Callithrix jacchus: one gene and its partners. The protein of the gene in region 3 interacts with the protein of the main gene of each other region in a pairwise test. Links are inferred from orthologs where the notes say so. Each region holds a gene or a part of one and is shown on either strand. Other genes may lie near its edges. The genes, in order: SUV39H2, RAB5C, APPL2, RAB22A and CRADD.

What was found.
Region 1: the proteins of APPL2 (region 3) and SUV39H2 interact in binary tests that used the Homo sapiens proteins (3 or more experiments, as listed by UniProt). The link is inferred for Callithrix jacchus from reciprocal best matches to the Homo sapiens genes APPL2 and SUV39H2.
Region 2: the proteins of APPL2 (region 3) and RAB5C interact in binary tests that used the Homo sapiens proteins (3 or more experiments, as listed by UniProt). The two-hybrid records come from large-scale screens. The link is inferred for Callithrix jacchus from reciprocal best matches to the Homo sapiens genes APPL2 and RAB5C.
Region 4: the proteins of APPL2 (region 3) and RAB22A interact in binary tests that used the Homo sapiens proteins (3 or more experiments, as listed by UniProt). The two-hybrid records come from large-scale screens. The link is inferred for Callithrix jacchus from reciprocal best matches to the Homo sapiens genes APPL2 and RAB22A.
Region 5: the proteins of APPL2 (region 3) and CRADD interact in binary tests that used the Homo sapiens proteins (3 or more experiments, as listed by UniProt). The two-hybrid records come from large-scale screens. The link is inferred for Callithrix jacchus from reciprocal best matches to the Homo sapiens genes APPL2 and CRADD.

What each region holds. Positions count from the first base shown.
Region 1 is NC_133508.1:15,823,565-15,827,541, forward strand, and holds the start of SUV39H2 (histone-lysine N-methyltransferase SUV39H2), read left to right. Parts: upstream 1-1,175; 5' UTR 1,176-1,198; coding exon 1,199-1,229; exon of another isoform or gene 1,230-1,801; intron 1,802-3,733; coding exon 3,734-3,879; intron 3,880-3,977. UniProt on the Homo sapiens protein: Histone methyltransferase that specifically trimethylates 'Lys-9' of histone H3 using monomethylated H3 'Lys-9' as substrate.
Region 2 is NC_133506.1:121,574,366-121,578,469, reverse strand, and holds the start of RAB5C (ras-related protein Rab-5C), read left to right. Parts: upstream 1-1,301; 5' UTR 1,302-1,402; intron 1,403-1,584; exon of another isoform or gene 1,585-2,044; intron 2,045-4,104. UniProt on the Homo sapiens protein: The small GTPases Rab are key regulators of intracellular membrane trafficking, from the formation of transport vesicles to their fusion with membranes.
Region 3 is NC_133510.1:108,124,415-108,127,256, reverse strand, and holds part of APPL2 (DCC-interacting protein 13-beta), read left to right. Parts: intron 1-990; coding exon 991-1,027; intron 1,028-1,219; coding exon 1,220-1,360; intron 1,361-2,423; coding exon 2,424-2,471; intron 2,472-2,842. UniProt on the Homo sapiens protein: Multifunctional adapter protein that binds to various membrane receptors, nuclear factors and signaling proteins to regulate many processes, such as cell proliferation, immune response, endosomal trafficking and cell metabolism.
Region 4 is NC_133506.1:53,939,657-53,943,170, forward strand, and holds part of RAB22A (ras-related protein Rab-22A), read left to right. Parts: intron 1-2,126; coding exon 2,127-2,198; intron 2,199-2,286; coding exon 2,287-2,393; intron 2,394-2,995; coding exon 2,996-3,105; intron 3,106-3,514. UniProt on the Homo sapiens protein: Plays a role in endocytosis and intracellular protein transport. Mediates trafficking of TF from early endosomes to recycling endosomes. Required for NGF-mediated endocytosis of NTRK1, and subsequent neurite outgrowth.
Region 5 is NC_133510.1:96,740,134-96,744,442, forward strand, and holds the start of CRADD (death domain-containing protein CRADD), read left to right. Parts: upstream 1-1,496; 5' UTR 1,497-1,751; intron 1,752-1,986; exon of another isoform or gene 1,987-2,147; intron 2,148-2,830; 5' UTR 2,831-2,836; coding exon 2,837-3,134; intron 3,135-4,309. UniProt on the Homo sapiens protein: Adapter protein that associates with PIDD1 and the caspase CASP2 to form the PIDDosome, a complex that activates CASP2 and triggers apoptosis.

The DNA of each region.
Region 1 (3,977 bases), on a different chromosome or scaffold from region 3:
ACTAAAAGCTTCATGAACATCTTTTTAAGACGGCTAGACAATATTTTATAATGGAATCAAATCATCCATTTCTTTAATGGTCTGCGTTTATTTCTAGTATTTCGAATTTATACATACTGCTTTGAAACGTTTATGTAATTTTTTACATTATTTTTTTAAGTCCTTAGTAGATATCAAATGGCTTTCTGCCAGTTTTCGCTATTTGCTCTAAGATTTCTGCTTTAGGTTGTTTAGAACAATCATAGGAGGCGGCGTCAAGACCGGGGGGCGGGGGTGGAGACCAGGTGGAAGTCGTCCTTCTCCCGGCCGCTACCCGCCAGCAGGCCGAACTCAGGAGCTTAACAACACCGGAGCTCGGGTCCCCTCACAGACCTACCCAATCCCAGTGCATTAAAGTTGAGCCCAGGAGGTCGAGACCGCAGTGAGCCGTAACTGCGCCACTGCACTCCAGGCTGGGTGACAGAGTGAGAGCCTGTCTCAAAACATTCCAAGTCCAGCTCCCTGACCCCCGACGATCCGTAAGCCCCTTTAAGTGTGAGAAGCACTGCTTGAGACTGCTGGTTTCCGCTGTGCCACACATTAGGATCGGCTGGGAGCTGGCAGCACTCGCTGCCCGGGCCACACCTCACACCAACCAGTCGGAACCCCGGCGACGGGACCAAGCCAGCGGAACCGCTCCAGCCATGCCCACGAGCAGCCGCTTCCGAGGCCCGGTGCTCTAGGGGAGTGGTGTCGGGGGAACCCGACCATGATCGGCTGGGCTGCGGGCCGCGGAACCGGACTCGGCGGGCAGCGTCCCCGATTGCCTAGGTCCGCGCTGTCCTTGTCGGATCTCGTAGTGTGCGCGTGCTGCCGATGTAAGACGTCTCCAAAGCGCAGCGCGGGAAGGCCTGACTGACGTCCTCCCTCGTGAAGGCGCCTAACTGGCCGGGAGAAAGGAAAGGGCGCCGGACAGCACCCAGGGTCAGGGAGCCCGCGCGCTCGCCCCGCCCTGCTCCACGAGCTTGAGGCGCAGGCGCGCTGGCCGCCACGGCGGGGGCGGGGGTCAGCCTCCCTGACGTCAGGACGCCGTGCGGGTTCCATCTCCCCCCCACCAAACCCCGGCCCCCAAGTCCCGCGCGGGCCGGCCAGGGGCGGGGCGTCGGGCCAGCTGAGCTATCCCGTCAGACCGCGCCAGTTTGAATGAAAGCTCCACAAGATGGCGGCGGTCGGGGCTGAGGCGCGAGGAGGTGAGGCTGGAGCGCGGCCCCCTCGCCCTCCCCATTCCCAGGCATGCTCCCGAGGCCCGGGCGGCGAGGCGGTCCTGCGGGCCAGCCAGACTGTGATGTGGCGGGTACCTGCCCGCCGCGCCCCCGACTCCGGGACGCATGCTGAGGGCGCCTATCCTCCCCCAGGCCGCTGACCCGCCTCCCTGCCCCGCCGGCTTCCGCCGCGGAGGTGGGCACCTCGCGAGCCCGAGGCGCTCCGGCTGCGGAGCGTGGCCTCGCCGCCCGCTCGGTCTGGCCCCCTCTGCGTCGCCTGTGGCGGCTTTGGGCGTCGCGGCCGGTCCCCAGCTGGAGGTCTGGGGGTCCCGGCTACGACTGGCTCCTTTGTGGTGGTTCGAGCGGGGCGTGCGGCGTGCGCCCCAGCCTTTGAAGTGGGAGGCGGGAAGCGACGCCCGCCGCGGTGAACAGGACCTTAATATCAGAGGGGGAGAGGAAGTCGGGGCGCCTGTGTGCTAAGACAGGGAATAAGCGAGGAACCCCCCCCCAAGGCGGACACGCTAGGAGGTTGAGTGCCTCGTTGGAGATTCGCCCAGAAAGTGGGTATTTGAGGTTGCACCCTCTGGTTTACGGTAACTCTTCCACCCACCGGGAGCTTGGCGTTATTTCTGTGGACGCTGGGGAATTGGGCACCGAGCGCGCGTGGGTGTGGGTGTGGGTGTGGGCGTGGGGGGATGTCGGTGTCGCGCGCGCTTCGAGAACCTGGAACTTTTCAGTGCGTTGTGGAATGTAAAGGTGTTTGCAAGCCCGCCTCCTCTCCGCTTGGGTTATGACCTCATTATCCCTGAATTTTTCTTCCTTGGAGAATGGCAGTGGTGACTGAAGTAGCGGAACGTGTTTGTGGTGGTCATGAACTATTTAATTTTGTCGATGAAATCTTTTTCTACCTTCCTAGAGACTGTTGAGAGACGGTCGGGTTTTTTTAACCACGTGATTGCAGTTTTTTATGTTCACTTAAAAAAAAAAAATTCCCAAAGAGCGTTTCCGTTGCGAATTGTGTTTTGAACCTACGATCTGCGTAATGAGGTCAACTTTACACAAAACATCGTCTGGTTTTTTTGTTTGTTTTTGGTTTTAGGTGGAAGGGACTTACTGGGTCATTTCTCTCCCATCTCTGTCCTACCCCCAAACGACCACTCCAAAGCAATCAGCCTCTTCCCCCACATTTTCTGGGGGAAAATACCTTTCTCTTTATTGCTTTAGGATTGAGTCGTTTGCAGCCAGTGAGATGGTGGAAATTATGCTTAAGGGTTTCCGACACTGAAGTGTCTGTGTGAGGTGGGGAAGATGAGGAAAGGGGCAGGAAAGTTGCCTCTGACAAGTGTTCTCACTTCCCTGAAATTACCTCAAAACACAAAAGGTTATGCCAGCTACCTTGGAGAGCTACCAAGTGAAGCTTGAGCTTACTGATAGATTTTGTTTCGTAACGCCAATTTTCTCCATTTTTTTCCAGTGAATCTGACAGCCAGAAAGATTGAGACCTCACTAAAGTCACAGCTCGGTGGCCGAGTGATGGATTAGGGCAGAGAACTTTTGATCCTGTCTAGCACTTACCATGACACTAGCGCTAACACCAAATTTGTCCCATTTTCCTAAACGTGTTTGTTAATTTATACTTTAAATTCGGTGTTGTAGCTTGCTGCTTACAGAAATATGGGGGTCACATCTTCTGCAACACAATTAGTTTCTGGCTCTTGGAGGGTTGCTGATGATTATGTCTAATTTTCTTTGAGTTTGGTACATGGCTTATGTAAATTGAACAGTGTTTTAAAAGTTTGGCTTTAAAAACAATACAGTCAGTAAGTATTACAAAAAAATCGATATACTCTCCTTTTTTAAAATAACTCTTGAGTTTATTCACCTTGGTGACAATTTATTGCAGTATGAGTAAAATAAGTGGAATTAAAACGTCAAGCAGCATTTCAAAGAGAAAACTAGCATATAATGATAGGAGTTTGTAACTGTAGAAATATATTTTAGATTTCAGTTCATATTGTCCAGTTAAAAAAAATGAAAGTTACCTGTTAACAAATTATAAGACTGTTTTAAAGTATTTTAGGTGTGTTTTTAAGAATATGTGTCCTAGAGATTTACATTTTATTAAAATAGTAATTCTAGTCTTTGTAGAATACAGTGCAAGTAAAAAACATTACTTCTGTTGACCTGCATCTGTATATAATCTTAAGAAAGCTTATGGATATGAAACCTTTTCAGGTAACTTAATGGAAATTGCCTGATGTCAGTTAAACATAGTAGAATAGAAATCCATGAGAAAACCCAAGAACACCAGTTTAACAAAAGTTCCTTAATGTTTAACATTTTCTTGAAGACACGTAATTGGATTCTTGTCATAGGAATTTTTAGTCTAAAATTTCCTGTTGAAAGGTGGGCAATAGAGGTTTTAAGTTTCTCTTTTTTGTTTTAATTGAGTAGCTATTTCATTAGTAAAGAATTCTATTTTCTTATTGTAGCTTGGTGTGTGCCTTGCCTAGTTTCACTTGATACTCTTCAGGAATTATGTAGAAAAGAAAAGCTCACATGTAAATCCATTGGAATCACCAAAAGGAATCTAAACAATTATGAGGTGGAATACTTGTGTGACTACAAGGTAGTAAAGGTAAGGCAAATATCTAGCCCCTTACAAGAGACCTAATCAGACTTCAGTATTTCATTTTTCTGTAACATAAAAAGAACCTTAAGAGTAAGAAAAACTCT
Region 2 (4,104 bases), on a different chromosome or scaffold from region 3:
TATGCCCGGTGTTGGCCAGTACTAGAGGCACAATGGTCACAGCTGTCTCCAGTGAGCTTTGATTCTACACAGGTTTTCAGTAGTGTCCCTGGAGGGTAACATGCAAAGGAAGAGGAGGTACTAGTCTGTGTTGAGAGGTAAGGGTGGGCGGAATCAGGAGCTGGCCGGATCCATATTCAGAGGAGCAGAAGAAACAAATAGTCCTGATCCATATGGGGAGGGGCAGAGTGGGGGTGGTTCTAGTCTTTATTTTCAGATGGAGAGGTCCGAGCCAGAGGTTATCCAGCTCTACATTCCGCGTCAGAGAGAAGAGCTGACCCTGGCTGGGAGCAGGGGAAGGCAGAGGCGGAGATGGTCTTTGCGCCGGCCCCCCCCCCGACACACCAAGTAGGGGGTGGTGGCAGAAGCTCTCCCTTTGATCTCACTCAGCATCCTGCAGAGAACCTTTCCTACAGCCTTTCATCGCTTTCATCGCCTTCCCCATCACAGAGGCCCCCAGCAATCGGGCTTCCCAAGCTGACTTGGCCGGAAAGCGCAGACAGGGGCTGCTCCAGATCAGCGAGTTCACAGGACTGGTCCACGCAGCCTCGCGTGCATATTCATTCGCACCATGTTTTTCCTTTTCCAATTCTGCACACACAGTCCTCTGCCTTCTTCCAACTCTCCGCCACTCGCCTTCCCTCGGGCGTCCGGAACCGGCGGTGACGCGGGTGGCAGGCTTGGCCTTAAAAAGTTCCCGGCCGTAGGCCGGGCACGGTGGCTCTGGCCTGTAATCTCAGCACTTTGGGAGGCCGAAGAAGGCGGATCACCCGAGGTTGGGAGTTCAAGACCAGTCTGGCCAAGATGGTGAAACCCCGTCTCTACAAAACATACAAAATTAGCCGAGCGTGGTGGTGCATGACTTTAATCCCAGCTACTCGGGAGGCTGAGGCAGGAGAATCGCTTGAACCCGGGAGGCGGAGGTTGCAGTGAGCCGAGATCGCGCCACTGCATTCCAGCCTGGGAGACAGACTGAGACTCCTCACAAAAAAATAATAATTCCCGGCCGGGCTCCGCCTCGCAGTCAGCCGGCTCCACCCTAAGCCCAAATCCCAGGCAGCCGCCAACTCCTCCCAGCGCTGCGAACTACAAGTCCCGCCATCCTTCGCGCGCGCCCTCCAACCACTCCCGCGTTTCTACCGGAGCCGCTGGATAGGTCGGCCAAGAGTGCCTTCCATTAGTCCCTCTACCCTGTCAATCACCTGGGTAGTATTGAGGGGCGGGACGGAGGTGGAGATCCGGATCCGGAGCGGCTGAAAGGCGGAAGTGGAGGCCGGAGCCTGGGACACCGCCGGGGGGGGGGGAGAGAAGCGAAGCCTGTCCGAGTCCCGGCCCCAAGTAACGCTGCCGTCCCGGAGCCGCCGTGAGTATGCCTGTCCCCGAACCTGGTGTCTCGCCTGCGTTGAAGCATCTCCAGGGCAGCCCTTACTCACCACCCAGCCCGTTTAGGGGGATAATGACCCCTCCCCCGACCCGTAGCCTCCTCCTAAGGGGTTCCCCAGGCGTCGGGCCAAAGGAGCGGGGGAGCTTCTTTCTTTAGCTTACCTGCCTTTCGTGAGCCTTAAGGAAACTCCTATGACTGTTCTCTGGCCTGTCCATTCCAGTTGTGGGAGAGAGGAACCCTAAGTTCCGCTCGCCTTGCTCCCAGAATCGAAGGATCTTTGCCAGGTGTGAAGGAACCTGTCCTTCTTGTCTTTTAGAAGTGACAGGGAGTGCTGTCTGTCGCCGTTTTCCTTCCTCCTGTCCCACGAAACCAGTTGTCCCCTCCAGCCCTAGAGGAATATGTCGATTTCCTATGGGGGAGGGGGTCGTCTGGGTGAGACCGTTCCACACGCACAGAAGTGTATTTGCGCTTCCACAACTCCTTACTTCCCTCTTTCCTCAAGCCAGAAAACCAACCAGGACCTCAGTTAAAAGTCTGGGTCATTTAGTAGGAATGAGATGTTTTCTTGCTTTGCCCCTTCTGTCTCCCTGCCCTATTCTCTAGTTATGTTGTTCTCTGAGTGTCTCTCTCTTTCTGCCCCTGAAGAATTTAGCTGAGGTTTGCTCAATCCTAGCTACAGATCACAGATCAGGGTGGATATGCCCATTCATTATCTTCTCTCCCCTCCCCCCTTGCTCCAGGCTCAGCTCTGTCCTCCCAGAGCACGTGAGTAGTTTTCAAGCCTCCTCAAAGGGACTGCTTCTCCCGGGACTGCTGTCCGTGTGTCTATAGGCAGGAGAATAAGACCCAAAATGAGGAGTCTGGAGTTGAAGAATTATCTCTTTCCCACTTCCAGACACACACACATAAACCACCCTGAGCAACAGGTCCACACCGCGCTGGTATCTAATCCCTTCTGGGCTTGGACTTATTACTGAGGACTAAGTCAAGATCCCACTGGCAGTTCTGGGGTCTGAATTGTAGCCTGAAGAATTCCCACACATGCCAGAAAATGCTGGTTCCCTCAACCGTATGGACTGTTGCTTGGGGCTTAGGTGTGTGAAATAGCTGCTGTCTCTGACCAAGCTTTGTTATGTGGCCAAAGTACAGGCCCGAGACTGTACCTTAATGAGGAGTAGCCTGTCTCTGAGGCCGTGACTGACCCTTGCTATCTACAGTGGATATGTAGATAGCAAGTGGGATAGATAGTGGGAATGTCTGTAGCTCTTCAGTTTTCTGAGCTACCTTTACCACCCTCTCGTGCTGCTTAAAAGTGCTGTTTTTTGGTATTGAGGTGTTTTTGAGTACTTCTGGACAGTCACTAGTGTCTGATTTCTCCAGTCTTGTGAGTAGACCTAGGACTTATTTCACCTTCCCCCAGCGCCCCCACTTCCCCCCTGCTGGAGTGCATTGGCCCCATCTCAGCTCACTGCAACCTCCACTTCCCAGGTTTAAGCAAATCTCTGCCTCAGCCTCCCGAGTAGCTGGGATTACAGGCGCATGCCATCATACCGGCTAACTTTGTATTTTTAGTAGAGACAGGGTTTCACCATGTTGGCCAGACTGGTCTTGAACTCCTGACCTCATGATCCGCCTGCCTTGGCCTCCAAAAGTGCTGGGAGTACAGGTGTGAGCCACCGCACCCAGCCTACTTATTTCACTTTTTATTGGACAACAGAAGCCTTCCTTATTAGGGTCAACAGCTGGATCACAAGCTCTTTATCTGTGTGGGTTCCTTGGGGGCTCATTGGAGACTTCTTCAGCCAATCTAGTTTTTCTGATCTGGGCAGCCTGGGCATCTGAGGGGCAGGGTCAGAGAGGCCTGACTGCTCACTGGCCATTGGTCTCTGACCAGACTTACGTCTTCAGGAGTGGACCATGGTTTGTCAGTCTTCAGGAGTCCTGGGATGAGACTGACCAGCCTTCTGAGGAGACCTTTTTTCCTTTGTCTGGACATGCTCTTCCAGCTCTGACTCTGAAACAATTTTTTTTGGTTTGTTTTTCTTTTGAGATGGAGTCTTGCTCTGTCACCGAGGCTGGAGCGTGGTGGCATGATCTCTGCTCACTGCAACCTCCACCTCCTGAGTTCAAGGGCTTCTCCTGCCTGAGCCTCCCAAGTAGCTGGGACTACAGGAGCGTGCCACCACGCCAGGCTAATTTTTGTATTTTTAGTAGAGATGGGGTTTCGCCATATTCGCCAGGCTGGTCTCGAATTCCTGACCTCAGGTGATCCACTCGCCTCAGCCTCCCAAAGTCCCGGGATGACAGGTGTGAGCCACTGCACCCGGCCTGAAATGACTTTTGAAGGGGAAGCTCGGCCATTTAGACAGACGAGGAAGGCCCCAGTGCTTTGGGAGAGAATGCAGCTGCTTCTGGCATCCAGAAATTATAGTCCAAGCAGAGGTCTGACTGCTTGGCAGAAAGCTATGGCTCTGTGTGTGACAGAAACCCCTCCTTTCTGATGCTGTTCCTCTCCTGCCCTCTTGCCTCTCATGATTAGTGGGCTGTTAAACTGTAGAGGGGCAATAACACTAATTTTTAAAAATCATTTTAAAGTTACAAAGTTATTTTCATACATATTCCTCACAGGTACCCTGGGAATAGTGGGGTTTGTTTCCCCACTTGTTTTTAATTTTTGTTAC
Region 3 (2,842 bases):
AATTTAATATTTATTAATTTAAATACCATGTTAATTATTCCAACACAAGTACAATACAGTAGAAATTTATGTCTACATATCTAAAATAGCAATAAATTCTCAGTTTTTTAGGATTTATCAACTGAATTATTAGATGCTTAAAATACTGTTAAATATATTCTGAAGGCTGCACATGGGGGCTGACACCTATAATCCCAGCACTTTGGGAGGCTGAAGCAGGAACATCACCTGTGTTCAGAAGTTCGAGACAAGCCTGGTCAACATGGGGAAACCCCATCTCTGCTAAAAGTACAAAATTAGCCAGGTGTGGTGGTGCACACCTGTAATCCCAGCTACTCGGGAGGCCTGAGGCAGGAGAATCGCTTGAACCCGGGAAGCGGAGGTTGCAATGAGCCAAGATCGTGCCACTGCACTCTGGCCTGTGTGACAGAGCAAGACTGTCTCAAAATAAATAGTAAAAAATGAAAAAATATATTCTGGGATACCGGGATACCTTCTTAAACATTATTCCTCGTATACCCAAACTATGATAAGAGTTTTGTCAGAATCCCTTCACTATTCTCTCACTCCTACCCCATCTTTTTAAGAATGTAAATTTGGACTAAGTTGATCTAGCACTTCAGCGACATTAAAGTAGCCAATGGATGTTTGTTGAGAGGGAGGCTGTACATAATATAATCCGTATTATATAGCAGATCTATTCAGAGTTACAATGCCTTTTTGGGTAAGTCCCAGAATCCTATGAACTTAAATCTTCTACTTACTATGTAATCTTTCATTATAGATACCCCGAGCTTTGGCTATACAGGTTCCATAAAGGCAGAAAGGAGGACATGTCGTCACACAGAGCTGTCTCGCCTCACCCTCAATCAGGCTTTATCTCCCTCTCTTATTTGGGGGAATTTGTGTTATTTTATTCTGGACTTCTACAAACGCTTCTAGGAATACTAATCCAACATTTGTGATATAAAGTATCTTTTAAAATTTCAGGTTGATAGATCCTCAGACTCAAGTATCAAGGGCCAATGTAAGTACCTCATTCAGATTCATGTTAGTGATTATTCCTTAATTCACCTTTGTATCTACCTTAAACACAGCCTAGGCACTTAATAAAGATCTTCTACTAGTAGAATACTTTTTCTCACGACTTTTCTGTAGAGTAACTTTGTCAGTTTTTAATTCTAATAGTTGTATGATCTGTTGCCTTTCTTTTTTCCAGTTTGAACTTACCAGTGTCACACAGTTTGCTGCTCATCAAGAAAATAAGAGACTGGTTGGTTTTGTCATCCGCGTTCCTGAATCCACCGGAGAAGAATCTCTGAGTACATACATTTTCGAAAGCAACTCAGAAGGCGAAAAGGTCTTTTTCATGTGAAGATTTTGTAATATCCCAAACAAGTCCATTTTATTTATTATTTATTTATTTATTTAGGCCAGCAACTTAACGTTCTTGGAAGTCCATTTTTTTAAGTCTTCTGGCATTACAGCCTTGGCTCTTTGCTTGATTATTCTGCATGTCTCCATCCAGGAGTTCAGATAATACCGCCTAAGAAGGCCCCACTGAAAGAATACTAACTCGATTGAAATTTCTCTGTGGAAAATACCTACCAAACAGAATAGGGTGAATGAGGAAGAACTGTAATGGCAAGACATATTATTTAGTCGGGATATAAGGAAATGTTGAAAGCAGTTCCCCTCAAATTTGTACTTCAAAAAAAAATTAAGGCAAAAGCTACAATAGAGAATAATTTAGTCCCAGGGTGCAAACCAAGGAAGGAGATACCAGAAAAGTACACATAAGCTGTTTGTTTAGTACAAAAAACTTGGACTATTCTGTGACTTAGAATTTGAGGTCAGGAGATTGAGACCATCCTGACCAATATGGTGAAACCCTGTCTCTACTAAAAATACAAAAATTAGCTGGCCTTGGTGGCATGTGCCTGTAATCCTAGCTACTCAGGAGGCTGAGGCAGGGGAATCACTTGAACCAGGGAGTCGGAGGTTGCAGTGAGCCGAGATCGCACCACTGCATTCCAGCCTGGAGACAGAGCAAGACTCCGTCTCAAAAAAAATTGTCAAATACTTATTTCAGTAAGTTATCTGTTTGCCACTGTGTATATGAACATGTAGTGGCCAAATACATTTAAGAGAGGAAAAAAAAAATTCCCATTAAGAATTTTAAACACTGGAATTACCTAAGTTTCACTTACCTGGAATATTTTTTATATGGCATAAATTGGCAAGAGGTCAGGACAGTTGGACGATAATGCCCGGGCCCTATGTGATGGGCTTCCTGCAGCCAGGTCCTTTGTTTCCCATGTGAGAACAGTGAGTACAGTGACCTCACTGTACTCCCAAATCACATTTGTTCTAAAATTTTATCCTTTTCTACCTTTGCCAATCACCACTTTTCTCTTTTGCAGATATGTTATGCTATTAATTTGGGAAAAGAAATTATTGAGGTTCAGAAGGTAAGATGCATTCTGGTGCTGGTTTAGTAGCTATTTAAAATGCATCTGTGTATACATACTAAGAGTCTTTTCAAAAAGAAAGGTGATGTTCACTGGCAAGTGTGGCCAACTTTGGGATTTCCTTTTAAGTATTCTAACCACCAGACATTTTTGATCAACTGGTTCCTTCCATGTTCATTGGTAACACATGAGGACTTCTTATCACTGCTGGAGCTCCTGCTTATCTGTTTTCTTGCTTATATACTAGTTGGCTAGATTTCCTTTCTTTCAGATTAAGATGATAAGTACTCACCATAAGCTCTAAAGCCTTGCTCCTCAGAGTATGATCACAGGCCCCACAGCATTGACAGAGATCACCTGGGAGCTTTTAA
Region 4 (3,514 bases), on a different chromosome or scaffold from region 3:
AAATAATAGAATGGAAAAGGATATTGTATGCAAATAATAAACAAAAGAAACCCATGTGATTATATAATATCAATAAAATAGACATGAAAACAAGGTGGAAGGAGGACATGATAAGAATATTGAGGAACTTTCCATATTGATGGAACTATTTGACATCTTAGTAGATGGCATTCACACAGATATATACATTTGTTAGTTTATCAGATTGTACTGTTAAGATCTTTGCTTTTCTCTGAGTTTTACCTTACAAATTTGAAGGAAGAAAACACAACCCTGTAAAGGGCATTGCCAATATAAGTACATAAAAATGAAAGCTAATACTATAACCTTTATTCCATCTGTGCACTTCTGTTTCATTTTCTCTTACATTGTCGAAGTCAACCCAACACTTTATATGTTTTTTACTCAATAATATAGTTTTCTTTTCTGTGATGCTTTCTTGCTTATAATCTTTATTTTTGTTTTCTTTTCTCTAAAACTTAATGTCTCCTTTATTGGAAGTTAGTAGGCTTTCGGCCGGGCGTGGTGGCTCACGCCTATAATCCTAGCACTTTGGGAGGCCGAGGCGGGTGGATCACGAGGTCAAGAGATCGAGACCATCCTGGTCAACGAGGTGAAACCACGTCTCTACTAAAAATACAAAAATTAGCTGGGCATGGTGGCGCATGCCTGTAATCCCAGCTACTCGGGAGGGTGAGGCAGGAGAATTGCTTGAACCCAGAAGGCGGAGGTTGTGGTGAGCCGAGATCGTGCCATTGCACTCCAGTCTGGGTAACAACAGCGAAACTCCGTCTCAAAAAAAAACAAAAAGGAAGTTAGTAGGCTTTCATCCCAGAGGCAGGGGTTTCTCTCACAAAGACTGGTAACAGTTTCTGTATATGGACAGCAAGGTCTGACACTTAGTTTGACAGTTCCCCACACTCACACAGTGCTTACTCATTTGTTCACCAATTCTTGATAACCTGTAGCATGCTAGATGCTAGGCCCTGAGATAAAATGGTGTGCTCAGCAGACATACTGACACCCTGACATCCCTCATGGAGCTTACAGTCAGAATTCCACTTTCTTCTGTAAAACTCAAATTAATATGAAACTTTAAAAGCCAAAAGCTTAAACTCAGTGAATAAGGAGTTCCAGAATCCACAGTGTGTATGTGGTTTATGTATATGCACCAGATGCTCCCCCTGTAATAATGCCTGCCTGTGTTCAGGGTAAACCACCATTAACAACAGGATGCAAATACATTGGCATCAGATCATAAGTCAGAGTCAGGCTTCAGAGTCAGGATGTAAGATGAAAATTAAGTATAAGCGAAATTCTTGTCATTCAACATTGGCATCAAATTCAGTAGCTGAGATGCTCACACCAGATGTGTGCCCAAGAACTGAGGTTGACAGGGGAAAGAGCTTCACAGTCTCCATCTCACACTCATCAAGAGAAATAGCTCACTAAGTCACGCTTGTTGTTTAAATGGTTATTCCTCTCCTTTCTCTTTCCTCCCTGTTGTGTCTCATGGGGTGCAGAGGCTCGGGTGATGAATGGGAAGAAGCTGTGTGTACAGGGTTAAATTCATGTAAATGAAATGAGATCTGCACCCAGCATTTGGGAATTGCCACACATAGAGATACCAAAAAAGCAAGTCGCAAACTCATGTAACTGGTGAACATAAATGTGTACTCATTTCTGAAGGACAATCAGTGTTTAGATTACAGAGTTTTCTTCATGACACCCAAATGCAGGCACTTCTCTGGAGAACTATTTACAGCATTATTTTTATCTCCGTGATAGTTAGGGAAGCCAAAGTTGAAAGGACTATTGAACAAATGAATTTGGGAATTATAACATTGAGTTCAATTAAAATGCGTTTTTAGCTGAAACAATTGTTTATAGTGCCATATTTAATTTCAATAAAACTATATTCTAAACTATCTTCTGAGAGACATTCAGTGTTACATTAAAAGTTTTTGCCTTTGGTAATTACTGGTTCGTTTGCCTTAAAGCATGTCATTTTCTTTGGCTTAAGAGAAAGATTACCTTTTGTGCAGGGATAATGGGCTTATAAGTCTAGTAAAAAGCATATTTAACCAATTTCCCCAATTTTGTTTATTTCTCCCCCTCCTCTGCAGTTTCGTGCCTTAGCACCAATGTACTATCGAGGGTCGGCCGCAGCTATAATCGTTTATGATATCACAAAAGAAGTAAGACTATATAGTTTTCTTTAGACAGTTTTGAAAACTCTCTTTTAGTTGCTTACATCTCCAGTTGCTCTCCTTTTTTGTGTTACAGGAGACATTTTCAACATTAAAGAATTGGGTGAAAGAGCTTCGACAGCATGGCCCACCTAATATTGTAGTTGCCATTGCAGGAAATAAGTGTGATCTTATTGATGTAAGGTAAGTTATTAGAATGAGGATTACAATGCCTGTTATGTGTTCCTTTTCTTAATGAGCAATATCCAGTATAAGAATCTTGCTTTTATCTCTGACATTGAAAAATTCCTTTTGGTTATGTGGTTGGAGTCCTGAAGTTCCTAACTAAAATTAAGATTTCAAGCATTTGAAGCTCATTATATATATAGACAGGAGTGCAATTTACAGAAACACTGGTTGCATTGCGCCCAACATTGTCTGAAATCAGAGCAGCCCCCAGTCTCCCATAACTTAGAATACTTGAATGCAGAAAGCACATTTATTGACAGTTTCTCTGGGCCACTTCCATCAGTCCCAGAGCAAGGGCTTTCTGAAAATTTTGGCTGGGGAAGAAAACCCTGCCATCCCTAATCATTACATTAGCTACATTACTAGTGGTAGCAGGTTTTGTTTTGTTTTGTTTAACCGTGGATGTGGTGTAATTGGGAAGACCACATCTCAGGGCCCATTTGGCAGTCATTCAGGACATCCTTTGTCATCATAAATCTGGTTAACTACTGGCTAGGTGGGGATAAAACCAAGATCTTCATGGGTAGAATTTCTGATATGCAGTTGTTGCCTTCCAGAGAAGTCATGGAGAGAGATGCAAAGGACTACGCCGACTCTATTCATGCAATTTTTGTAGAGACCAGCGCAAAAAACGCGATAAACATAAATGAACTCTTTATAGAAATTAGTGAGTATCTCTGTGCCTTATCCATTTCCTTTGTAAAAGCAACTTAACACAGAATGATCTTTCTGGTTAGAATTCCCATCTTACTTAGAGCAATCTAGTCTCTGATACTGTGCTCAATGGAATGAGATTGGAGAAGGTAAGAGTGATGGCCAGTTTTTATATCATGTTACAGTTCCTGCAGAGCTGCTGCCCTTCTAGAAAGAATGTTGCTACTGAATAAATAATGTACAGGGCATAGAGATCATGAAAGCTGTCCATTTCTTTCTCTATTTAAATGTGTTTCAGTTAGTCATCCAAGGTGATTGAAAGTGAACAAACTAAAGGGAAATGAAATGCAGATATAATTCCACTGTAAGAAAACCCTCAAAAAATAATGCTAGGCAAGTGAAAGGTAAGGCCTGTTTTCCCC
Region 5 (4,309 bases), about 11 Mb from region 3:
TAGATGGTATAGCCTACTACATACTTAGGCCATAGAGCATAGCCTATTGCTCTTAACATTGTCATATATGGAGTCTGTTATTGACCCAAATGTTGTTATGCAATGAATGACTGTAGTAATACTCGCTACTTAGTAAAAATACCGTCATTAATGGTGTAGTAAAATGGTAACTGGCATAGTAACACTGTAAATTGAATACAATTTTAGAAGGTTTTGAGGAGGGAGGTTCAGAACTGTTCTCCATTGATTTGCTTACAAAGACATTTTCATTTTCCACCAAAGGTTTTAGCTGTGAAAACTTTGGCAGAAATAATATTTTAGGAGTTTTTCCCCCTGTACTGTCAACTAAGTTTTAGTAAGCACATGACTTTCCATTTGTATCATCCAACTGATTTTAAAATGAATCAATGAATGTATTTATTGACTGACTGGCCCACTTCACAAAGGAATGTGAGGAAGGACACTCAATTTGACATCCCTGTGTTTCTCTATATTTGGGTCATGCATTTTGTCTTGCTTTCCAAATTGAAAATGTGGTGGATGCAGTAGATTGGCCTTTAGTATCAGCCCTTCCCTCATTTAGTATACCTTTTCCTGTTTCACAAGCTGGAAAGCTACACGCTCTAGACATCCTTGCTGCTAATATTCTGCATGTGAAATTGGTCTCACCAATTGCACACAACAGAGCAAGATTTGCAGGTGCTGTTTTCATGCTGCTAGCAAATGCAGCTGTCGAGACCACGGTGTTTTGCAGCAGTGTTCCAGTGTCCTGTTGATTGTTCTGTCGGGTGTTGAAAGGAAGCTGGGGACAAGAAATGCCAACTTCCTGACGCCATCTTCCTGATTGTGGGCAGGAACCAGTATGGCACTCTTCTCCAGGTAGTCATCCGTGGATATTCAGCCTTTCTCCAGCCTTTCCAATGATCTCTAATGTCTCCAATCCCCACTGACAAATCCCTTTCTGACTAGGAGTAACTAACTAGCTGAGTGCTGCAATGAAATCCTGACCGACAGATTTGTAAGCTCTTCTTGGGCAGGAACCCTCGATATAAAGCAATGAACTTGCCTTTTAATGGAGTGAAGCCGAGGGATAAACAAATAAGTGAAAAGTTTTAGTAAGATGGTGATATGTAAAAAGTAAAGTTGGTTAAGACAATGGGGAGTGCAGGAGATGAGGTGTTGCCGTTTTAATCAGATAGGTCAGAGAAGGCTTCCTCCTAGGGTGATTTTTGGCCTGACTCTTTGGCATGTCAATTGTGTGCAAGGCCCTGGTGGAGTTACCGTGTTAAAATGCAAATATCCAATTACTCCATTACTTAGATATCCTCTAAGTGATGCTACTGTTGTCCAGCTCCCCGCGATTGAATGTTTACCCATAGTAAACATGGCGGGAAGAGCTTCAATCCGACCCTCGAACGCTCAATAAAAATGGCGACGGCACTTCCTGTGCTTGCCCTCAACAAAGATGGCGTCAACACTTCCTGTTTAAGGTTTTCGCCTTTAACAAAGATGGTGCTTACGATGCAGGTTCCCTAACAATCAGGATTCCGGTTGCAGTTTTTCTCCCCCGCCCCAAAGATACGTGGTTGCAGACGTAAGTAACAGGAATCCATCTTTTCTTGAAAGTCCTGCACTGTAGCATCTGCGACCTGGGCCTGCGGGGGCTTCCCCGCCCCCCAACTTGCTCCCCATTTCCGATCCGGGCCAAGGCTGGGTGGCTGCGGCAGTGCCGGAGGCCCGCTCTCCCCTTGGTCAGCTCTTAAGTTTATTCCCAGCACTCCCTCTTTAGCGGGTCGAGTTGCCACAGAAACCGCCCATAGTTCTTCCTGTTGATAGAAGGGTTTCAGCGGCCGAGGCCGAGAATTTTTTAAAAAGTTACCAATGGGCGCTCACGGCCAAATGTGAACACCTCCCTTCTTCACCTGTCACCTCCCGAACTTCACAGGGTTGCGAGGGGGAGTGTGGGATTGGGTGTCGCCCAGCAGTAGTACTGCCTGGGGGTGTCTGAAGCCGCATCTGTCATCCCTACCTCCCTTCCCTGTCATTTATTCTTCACTGCCTTACACACAACCAAGCCACAGCACACTGGTGCAGCGGTGGTGGAACTGCACCTTCAACTCGTGCCTGACTACTGACCAGTGCTGGATGTGAGCTTTTTTTTAAAGAAAAAAAAAATCCCATAAAATGTCCCATGCAGGTGTGGCCACGATAATGTGCTACAGATTCTGAATTCTTAGTGGGAAGGAATGGAGTTTGTGACTGTATATTGTGTAAGTTTTATTGTAGACTGGGCACAAAACAACCTTTTTCTTGAGGGTGATAGTGTAGAGGACTTTAAGCAAAAAGAGCCTTAAACTCTGTACCTGCTGCTGATTTCTGTCCTGCACTCCTATTACTGATCAGGTTTTGCAAATACTTGCGGTCAAAAGGGCACCTGCGTCCAGTGTGGCAGTTTTTGCCATGGTGGTGGTGCAGGTCTGATGAGGGCAATGTTAAAAACACCATTTCTTCCCCAGCTTGTTAAAACTAATGGTGCTCTGTGATCTTCAGATAAAAAGTGCTTTTTCAGAAGGGTCTCTGACCCACTTTTTTTTTTCTTCTTTTTCTAAATTTCTTTATTGATTGAGCCGGGACCCCATTGTGCTAAAAGCAGAAACAGAAAAGATGATTCATTTTCGGTGTTGTTCATTATGTTAGGAAACGTTCAAAATTAACTTGGCTTCACCCGTGTATTAAATATGGCACTCTGCTACGGTCTGAAGATATGCCTGACCTGAAGGAACTTACATTTCATGTCTGTAATTTGAGCTGTGATTTCGGCTTTTTCCAGGGAGAAATGGAGGCCAGAGACAAACAAGTGCTCCGCTCACTTCGCCTGGAGCTGGGTGCAGAGGTATTGGTGGAGGGACTGGTTCTTCAGTACCTCTACCAGGAAGGAGTCTTGACGGAAAACCATGTTCAAGAAATCAATGCTCAAACCACAGGCCTCCGGAAAACAATGCTGCTGCTGGACATCCTACCTTCCAGGGGCCCTAAAGCATTCGATACATTCCTAGATTCCCTACAGGAATTTCCCTGGGTCAGGGAGAAGCTGAAGAAGGCAAGGGAAGAAGCCATGACCAGCCTGCCTGCAGGTAGGGCTCAGAAAGATCACTTCGAAGCAGCTCCAAAACGTTGGAACTATGCCCTTTGGTTTTGTGTTTGTTGGTTGGTTTGTTTTTGAGACAGTCTCGCTCTGTTGCCTAGGCTGGAGTGCAATGGCATGATCTCAGCTCAGGGCAACCTCCACTTCCTGGGTTCAAGCAGTTCTCATGCCTCAGCCTCCTAAGTAGCTGGGAATACAGGCATGTGCCATTGTGCCTGGGCCAATTTTTGTATTTTTAGTAGAAATGGGGTTTCATTATGTTGGCAAGGCTGATCTTGAACTCCTGACCTCAGGTGATCCACCCACCGCAGGCTCCCAAAGTGCTGGGATTACAGGCATGATCCACCATGCCTGGCCAGAACTATGCCCTTCATATTTGAAGTTGAGATGTAAGGCAGGACAAGGGTCAGCAGTTGATGAAAGTGGGTAAGGAGTTGGGACTGAAGGGACATGATATTGGAGGCATAGGATCAAGAGGTGGCATTAGGAAATGGTGGGAAGGAAGAATGAACCGTGACTGGGAGGTGAAGGAGGGGGGCTCAGAGAATGCATTTAGAAATGCTTCCAGGGAAACCTGGCATGTCACTTGGGAAGCATGTTCCCATCAGAGAGCCAGGTCATATCTCAGCCGTTGGCATCAGGAGCCATTTGGAAAGCGCAGATGGAAAGCAGGCATTCGGCCTACTGACAACTGATTTGTGAGGTGCCAGAGCTACCAGCTGGAAAAGGTCAGATTCATGGAGGAGGAGATAGCCTCTAGGAAGGCATGTCCTGCACCTGTCCCCTGGGCTGTCCTGTGTGGCCAAAGGGGATTATGTTGAAGGCTGACTTGGTTTGTTTTGAAAGGTTATTCGTTTAAAGTGTCCTTTTTAGTTTAGCTTAGTTCAGACAACTGGAGTATTTAATTTTATGGAAAGCAATAGTTTGGGGAGGGTCTCAGTTTGATCTGAAGGAGAATTAGAAGCTGGAGAAGAGAGAAACAGTTCTGGTTCTGTTAGCCTGGCTTATAGCAGGAAGAATACATGATATAGAAACACTTGCTTTTTCTTAACCTCCCTTGGCTCTGTTTTACAAAGATGAAGGAGCAGAGAACTGAACTTAAACATTGAAAAAAAGAGTAATTGAAAGTTGACTTGCACGTTTTTAACAAAGTTAGAGAATCAA